Linked DNA regions of Danio rerio. Each later gene encodes a partner of the first gene's protein in a complex. Links are inferred from orthologs where the notes say so. Each region holds a gene or a part of one and is shown on either strand. Other genes may lie near its edges.

Region 1 (3,514 bases):
CCTGCTCATCGGGACTGGTGTTTAAGAGGCCGAAGGTCAAGTCCTCGTTGGCTGAACTTCCTGCTGACTCGGCTGCTGGTTCTGTTGCATATTTATTCATTGCTGCCGCCGCATCGTTGTTGGCAACTGTAATCAGCCGGGCTTCATGCGTCGCATTCACCACACTGCTTTTAGCCACACCCATCTCAACCTTCTTCAGATTTGACTTTCCAAGCTTTCCGAACTTCATCCGCAGCGATGAAGACGTCGAGGTGGATGTTTTCCCAGGCTTTACGTGGAGACTGAGGCTACTGGGTCTCTTAGGGACGTTCTGCTGCTTAGGTAAGATGGTTATAGGGGTGTCCCCATGCCTACTGGATCCTTGTGACCCCGAAACCTCAGAAACCATCTTCATGAGAGGATAAAACGGGCCGTGGGAGGCTGACGTTTCAGGAGAGCAGAACTGTTTCTGTGAATGTTCCATAAGGCTCTCGTCCGAGCTCTCTCTCATGTTCCTCTGGACTTCGCTCGGGTCGAGTTTTGGTATCTCCAGGTCTTCTCGTGTCAGCTGAGCACAGAGATTGGTGGCCACTGGTGGAGGATGCGTGGCATTGCAGGACTCTGAGACAGGAGTAGCGGAGGAGCTTTCTGTGCCAGACTGTCGTGATTGGGCCTGCTGCCACTCATAGTTGATGCAGTTCTTTTTCTTCTCTGCGGGATTAGTTCCTCCTGCTGAGGTTTGCTCCACTGAGGTGTCATTGTGGAGTGGTTTATCAGCACCTTCATGGTCTTCAGTGTTTGTGGATGAGTGTTCAAGGACAGAACCTACTTTAGGTGTCTGCCTTCCAGCAGAGAAGTTCCTACAAATGTTATATTGCATTGGTTAAATCAAATGAGGTGAAGATGTGTATAGACTTTTAATTAAAACAGATGGATTTCAATATCACGGAACCAAGAATTAAAAAAATTGATCAAAGAAATGGCAGGAAACATGTCAAATGGAAAATATCACATATACTGTCAAAAGAAAACAACAACAAACTATGTAATATCATCATAATAATAATAGTTTCTTACATTTAAATAGCACTTTTCTGGACACTTAGGGTGCTTTCACATCTGTAGTTCGCTTCATTTGGTCCGGACCAAGCGCAATAAATGATACATTGTTGCATTTTCTGCCGTCTTTGGGTCGTTTTTACACCACACTGCTGGCTTTGATCCGAACCAGTTGAAACGAACCAAAATGCAGTCATCTGACAAAATCCACATCTCTCATTGGCCAGATGTTGTTGAACATATTTCCTAAATTGCTTATTGATTGGTCACAATTCACGTGCGGGAAAATGCCAGTGAACTCCCGCAGGTAAACAAAACCTTTTACTCTGGAGGGACGACTGCGCTGGCTGATTGTATCCCTGCTTTAGACAAACTATACATTACGAAAATGAAGCGCGGCCGCGGCTTGAAAACAGTGTTTAATGCGTCGCTCGTCACTTCAGGAGGAGGCGTAAATTAATTTAGCTAAACTGCAACATGGTCATCTTGCGGAAATATTACCAACGATCCATCAGGTAATGTTTTCCCCTCTCTCTCTCTCTCTCTGTTGGTAAAGCGCTGTCAACAAATATTTTTCCTCCATATCCCATAATGCACAGCGCATCGGCCTACGGCAGCTGAATTAGTCCAAAACGTTGTTTGAAAGCGTACCGAGACCACCTCTTCAAGCAGGTCTCGGTACGCTTATTTGGTCCGCTTTTGGTGCGCACTCGAGTACGATTGCTGCATTCTCACCTGCCCAAATGAACTGTACCAAAAGGGGAAACGAACTCTAGTGCGATTCAATCGAACTAAATAAGGCAGGTGTGAAAACACTCTTAAAGCGCTTTACACATTTTTGGCGGGAATCAACCTAGATGTCACGACGCTAGCCATATTACGCCAGACCGCCCACCACACATTAGCTGATTGGTGGAGAGGAGACAGAGTGATGACGCCAAGTGATGAATGCAAGGAGAACATGCCTACTCCACACAGAAACGCCAACTGATCCAGCTGAGGTTCGAACCAGTGACCTTCTTGCTGTGAGGCGAGAGCACTACCTACTGCTGCACTGCGGCACCCAAACTTTCGTACTGCACCTTTAATTAATTACCTGTGACCAGACTATTATTGATCAGTGACTTTTGGTTGTCAATAACATGTGGTTGAACATTTATTATGGGTCATTGATTACTTGTGTTTGCACCATGAGTTGTCAGTGAGTATAGATTGACAATTACCTGTTGTTGTACAGTAAATATTAGTAATAACCTTTGTATTTAGTCAAAGTGGTCATTTATTATTGGTTATAGTTAAGTGTTGTCCAGTAATCAGTTATTACACATTGATTACCTGTAGTTGTGGAGTGATTACTACATACTGATTGCATTTCACTGTACCGTGATTGATCAATAATCAACATTTATTGATTAACTGTGATTGTAAAATGATAACTATATTTGTGGTTGCACATTGAGTGATCAGTGGTTACTAATTATGGATTACCTGCAATTGTATAGCCGGTGGTCAGCCATTACAAGTTATTAATCAACTGTGGTTATTTATTGACTGTTCAGTGATTAGTTAAAGTTATTAGTAACTAATAACTTGATGGAAACAAATAACCTTAACTATTCTGAATTTGATTGTTATGCAATAATGTAGTCCTTTTGTAAAGCTGCTTTGAAACATTAATTATTGTGAAAAGCGCTATACAATTAAACTTGAAGCTGAATTGCTGGTTATTGATTATGCTAACTTCTGGCTATTGATTACCTGTGGTTATACAGTGCAGTGCTGTGGTTAAGAGCAGGACTGGCTGATTTTTCTCTGTCCCAGATGAGGAGCAGTTCGGCGAGTCGCTCCTCCGCACACTGAGCTGTCAGTCGGGCTTCTGCGTCCTGATCCCAGCAGTCTTCCATCGTCTCTTTCAGAGAATGCACCGTCTGCACAAAAATAGACGCGCATACACACATACGTCAACATTAACAAATCTATTTTAGCCTGTGGAGTGTTGATAAGCTCAGTTTGTGTGTGTGTGTGCATGTGTGTTCACATCCTCATTTCTCACCAGGCTATTCTCTTTCCAGGCTTCTGGGAATTTGGGTCTTTCTTTTTCTCTGGACACAAGCGCCTGCATGTCCTCTATGGTAGGATGATTGCCCACCTCTGCCTGGAATGCCAACTGAAAAGCTGGCACTGTTTCACCTGGTGGAAGAGGATTCTTATTTGGTTTTAAATAGCAGAGTCACAAGCAATGTAAAAAAAAAAAACAAGATAATAAATCTTTGCAAAGAGAAAACAAAATTAGCATCTTTATATTCATTCATTCGTTTTCTTTTCAGCTTAGTCCCTTTATTAACCAGGGTCACCACAGCGGAATGAACCGCCAACTTATGCAGTACATGTTTTACGCAGCAGATGCCCTTCCAGCTGCAACCTATTTTTGAGAAACTTCCAGACACACTTATTCACACTCATACACTACGGACAA
Region 2 (4,038 bases), on another chromosome or scaffold:
CAATGCCATCTTTTTGTCCCAGGTCACCCCAGAGGCCCGTCATCTCCAGCTCAAGGTTGTCTTGAAGGCCTGGCCTGTTGGTCTCGTGCTGGATCAGCTCGTTCAGCTCTCGTTTTGCTCCACGATGGTCTCTGCTCTGGTCATCAGAGTACACAATCATTAAGGGTTTGTGTTTGTCCTCAGGGCTGGTGTCAATGTCCATGTCTCCCCCTATGGCATTGCTTATATTTTCACCTTCGGCCACACTCTGAGAGTCCAAACTTGCTATGTGGACCTCCAGCTTGTGCGTGGTCCCATAGTCTGATTTCCGCCAAAGGTGGACGGCTGCGGTCATGTCAAAGGATTCCCATGCATTATCTGTACCATAAACCTGTCGAGATGCTAACTCCACCAGCTCCGTTTTACTCGCTTGATCTCCTCCATCAACATCGTCTCCTCTTACTTGCTGGCTGCTGTTCGTTTCAAGCAGTTTGACCTCATATATGGTCACTTTTCGGTCAACACCAGCATATTTGTTGCGGTCAGTCTGGACCAGAGTGTACAGTCGGAGTTCAGCTGTGGTGACTCTCTCATGGTGTGGGATTGATACGTTGAAGAGAAGTGGGTGTCGTCTCACTCCACTAGGTCCCATACTGTATGAGGAGGAGTCTGGAGAGAACAAGACAGACAAATGTTAGGAATTCTAATTGCCACAACTTCATGCGTGTGAAAAACGTCTAAAATTATTACAAAATAAAAACTAATTTACATTTATGTAAAAAGAAAAAGTAGAACATAAAATTGTTTTATGTTTATCAATGTATACAATTTGTACATGTGAATTTAGACAATCTTTATGGTGTAGGTCAGTGGTTCTCAAAGTGGGGGTCGGGACCCCCCCGAGGGGTCGCGGGGCAATGAAGGGGGGGGTCGCCTGGTGATTTCCAAAAATCTATTTATGGTTATAAAACCATAAGAATTAACATATTTTATCCATAACTATACTGAAAATAAAAATAGTAGTTTATAGTTACTATACACTATATAGTTACTATAGTAGCTTATAGTTACTAGTTCTATTGGATTGCGACCCCTGGGGTAATTACATTATATTAAAGGCAGCAATAGCGTCAGATGCATTTTGATTTTATAACATCAGGTTATACTTTCTGGCACATTTAAAGCACTGACACAAATTTAATTGGTGTGTCTGCGTCATTGCATGCAAGGTTTCTGTATTTATAACCACCTCAGAGGATATTGGGGGTCGCGAGTCACTAGCATTGTTATTTTGGGGGTCGCAGACTGAAAAGTTTGGGAACCCCTGGTGTAGGTAACAAAAACGATAGCGAGTATGTTGGTAATAGACAACACAAGAATATTTCATTTAAATTGCTGCACAACAAAGCGCTTAAAGCCTCTTTTTAATTACCAAAAAAGCCACTATCGTCTCTATAAATTGCTCATAATTCAGCATGCATGAATCACAGTGCAATTATTTACTACAGTGCACAACCAAAAATGCTTTAAGACTCATTCATTCATTTTCTTTTTGGCTTAGTCCTTTTATTAATCAGTGGTTGACACAGTGGAATGAACCGCCAGCTTATCCAGCATTTGTTTTATGCAGCAGATGCCCTTCCACCTGCAACTCATCACTGGGTAACACCCATACACTCTCATTCACACACATACACTATAAAGACAATTTAGCTTAACCAATTCACCAATAGCACATCTATTGCAGCAAACTCCACACATAAATGTCAACTAACCCAGCCGTGTCTTGAATCAGCACCCTTTTTGCTGTGTGGTGATTGTGCCACCACACCGCCCTTTTTAAGACTCTTTATATATATATATATATATATATATATATATATATATATATATATATATATATATATATATATATATATATATATTTTTTTTTTTTTTTTTTTTCTTTCAGCAGAAACATTTGTCTTTCCCAGCTACATTTTTCACGAATTTTCAAGTAATCACAAATTACTTCATATTATTACTTGCATATTTAATTAATTACATTGCAACTAAATCTCATTGGATTATAAGTATTATAAGATTATTACAATGGGGCTAGGGTTACTGTAAGTTGACTTGTACTTGCAAAATTTCTTATAGTCAGTTAAATATCTGTTGAATGTTAAGCAGACAGTCTACTAATACTCAAATGGACTATCAAAATAAAGTGTTACCGTTACATTTATTATTATTATTTTGGAAACCATTATTTATCACATAAACAGTCGAAAAATAAGTTGTTGTTTTTTTCTTTTTTTCTTTTACAAAAAAATAACAAATTCCTACGATACAAATGATTATAATGCCCTCATTGAATAGGAAAATATGCAGTTACCTTCATTTTTAAAGCTGCGTATGATGTTTGCCGAAGGCATTGCTGTTCGGTCATTGGCGAATCGGTTGTAGAGTTCCAGCATATACTCAGGTGGCTCTACACGAGTGGCCCCTTGATGCGCAGGAGAGCTGGGACGGGTCAGATTGAAAGTCTGCAGAAACTGTCCCTTCAGGGTCTCCATCAAGCTCTGCATGTTCGCCTCACTGTCCTGCTCCAAGAGTGAAGGATCCAAAACGCCTCCATGTCCATCATCCAACCCTGGAGCAGTGCGGTGCCTCTCCGGGGAGCTGATGGGGCTACTTTGCACACAGAAAGGCCCCCAGAAAAGCAGGAAAAAGGCCAATAAAGCAGACGTGGCAGATGAAAATATAATCCAAAAGTGATTTCTGCTACCAGCCATGACGCAAGACAAATGTGTATTAGCTATAGGTGCAGGAGGTGAGATCTATAGATCCACTATCAAAAGCACTTAATTTCAGTACACAACTTTTCCTGGACAGAAGTTTAGTTGACGCTCCACTGCAAAACTTAAGATAGTAGACTTGTCCTTGCTGTTCTGGTTCAATATGTAGCCTCACACTGATGCCTGCAATAAAGTGCCTCTATTCCTGAACTCTGAGCATTTATTCTTCTTCTCACCTTTTGATGTCTGAAAAGTTTGAGGGTGGTTTCAGTACGTGAAAGAGATGTCCCTCTGTGCCATCTCTTTTCAAATGTTTTTTCCTCTCTCTCTCTTTCTCTCTCACTCTTGCTCTCTACTTTCTCTCTCTGTCCCTTATCTGCAAACTAGGAAGCTCTGCATTTCTAGTGTTCATAGTGTGTGTGTGTGTGTGTGTGTGTGTGTGTGTGCACCGTTATCGGCTTTCTTTTCCTTAATGAGGACTTTGTAAACATCTCTCTGATACGTGCAGAAGCCCCTTCCTTTGTTTGGGTGGGTGAGCCAGGGCAGATTTTGGGCCTAGTGTTTATTTGTTTTTCCTATGACTTCCTATGAGTGCTGGGACCTAAGTTCATTGACCGTTTCTTTTTGACAAACGTCTGAAGAGTGCCTCCGTATCTTTGATGCGACGGAAATTGAATTGCAATGAGGTGTAAGACGTTGCTGGATTGACTGAAAGCAGCTACTTTTATTGCCACTATAGTGCTGTTATCGGAATATCTGTCTGCCTCTGTAAGAATCTGGAAAGTATCCATTACAATGAAATACGTTTGCAGTACTTGAACAAAATTAAATATTTCCTTGTGGAAGAGGACACTCAAACTGTTCACAGATTACTATAACTCCAACACTAACCAATCATGCCAAAAATTCCGTACAACATTTTGTTTGCATTTTCACTGACTTCTGGAGCATCTTATCATCTGTAGAAGGGTGCCTGCTGAAGAGCTTCTGTGCTCGTGGCAAAAACAAACCGCTCATTCGGAAATGGAGAGAAGCCCTTATCACTGGCTCTGAGAGGTTGACACAGCTCCCTGGCCAATGGAAATGTCTCAGGAGGCTTAGGATGACAGTACGCAATAGATGGTCTTCATACAGTAGCACATCCCAATCAGACAAAACAGTATTGAGGCAACTTCCAGAGTAATGCTTCAGTACACTGTACTTTCCACTTACAATACCTCCCCCAAGATCAAGACCAGGCACAGGATCTACAAAACTAGTTCTTTTTATCTTCAAGATG

The links. Proteins that work in one complex are often made in the same cells at the same time.
Region 2: the proteins of bmpr2a (region 1) and bmp10 are in contact, whole or in part, in a crystal structure (PDB 7PPA), measured with the Homo sapiens proteins. The link is inferred for Danio rerio from reciprocal best matches to the Homo sapiens genes BMPR2 and BMP10. Residues at the interface, in NP_001195.2 of Homo sapiens: Asp38, Ser64, Tyr67, Leu69, Lys81, Cys84, Trp85, Ser86, Ile88, Gly89, Asp90, Pro91, Gln92, Glu93, Thr103, Thr104, Pro105, Pro106, Ile108, Tyr113, Phe115; in NP_055297.1 of Homo sapiens: Tyr329, Lys333, Asp338, Ser339, Trp340, Ile342, Ala343, Pro344, Pro345, Gly346, Tyr347, Glu348, Glu395, Pro396, Ile397, Ser398, Ile399, Leu400, Leu402, Val407, Tyr409, Phe411, Ala417.

The regions. Positions count from the first base shown.
Region 1 is NC_133181.1:13,762,418-13,765,931, forward strand, and holds part of bmpr2a (bone morphogenetic protein receptor type-2a), read right to left. Parts: intron 3,229-3,514; coding exon 3,092-3,228; intron 2,967-3,091; coding exon 2,797-2,966; intron 840-2,796; coding exon 1-839. UniProt on the Homo sapiens protein: On ligand binding, forms a receptor complex consisting of two type II and two type I transmembrane serine/threonine kinases.
Region 2 is NC_133180.1:21,940,950-21,944,987, reverse strand, and holds the start of bmp10 (bone morphogenetic protein 10), read right to left. Parts: upstream 2,804-4,038; 5' UTR 2,757-2,803; coding exon 2,357-2,756; intron 649-2,356; coding exon 1-648. UniProt on the Homo sapiens protein: Required for maintaining the proliferative activity of embryonic cardiomyocytes by preventing premature activation of the negative cell cycle regulator CDKN1C/p57KIP and maintaining the required expression levels of cardiogenic factors such as MEF2C and NKX2-5.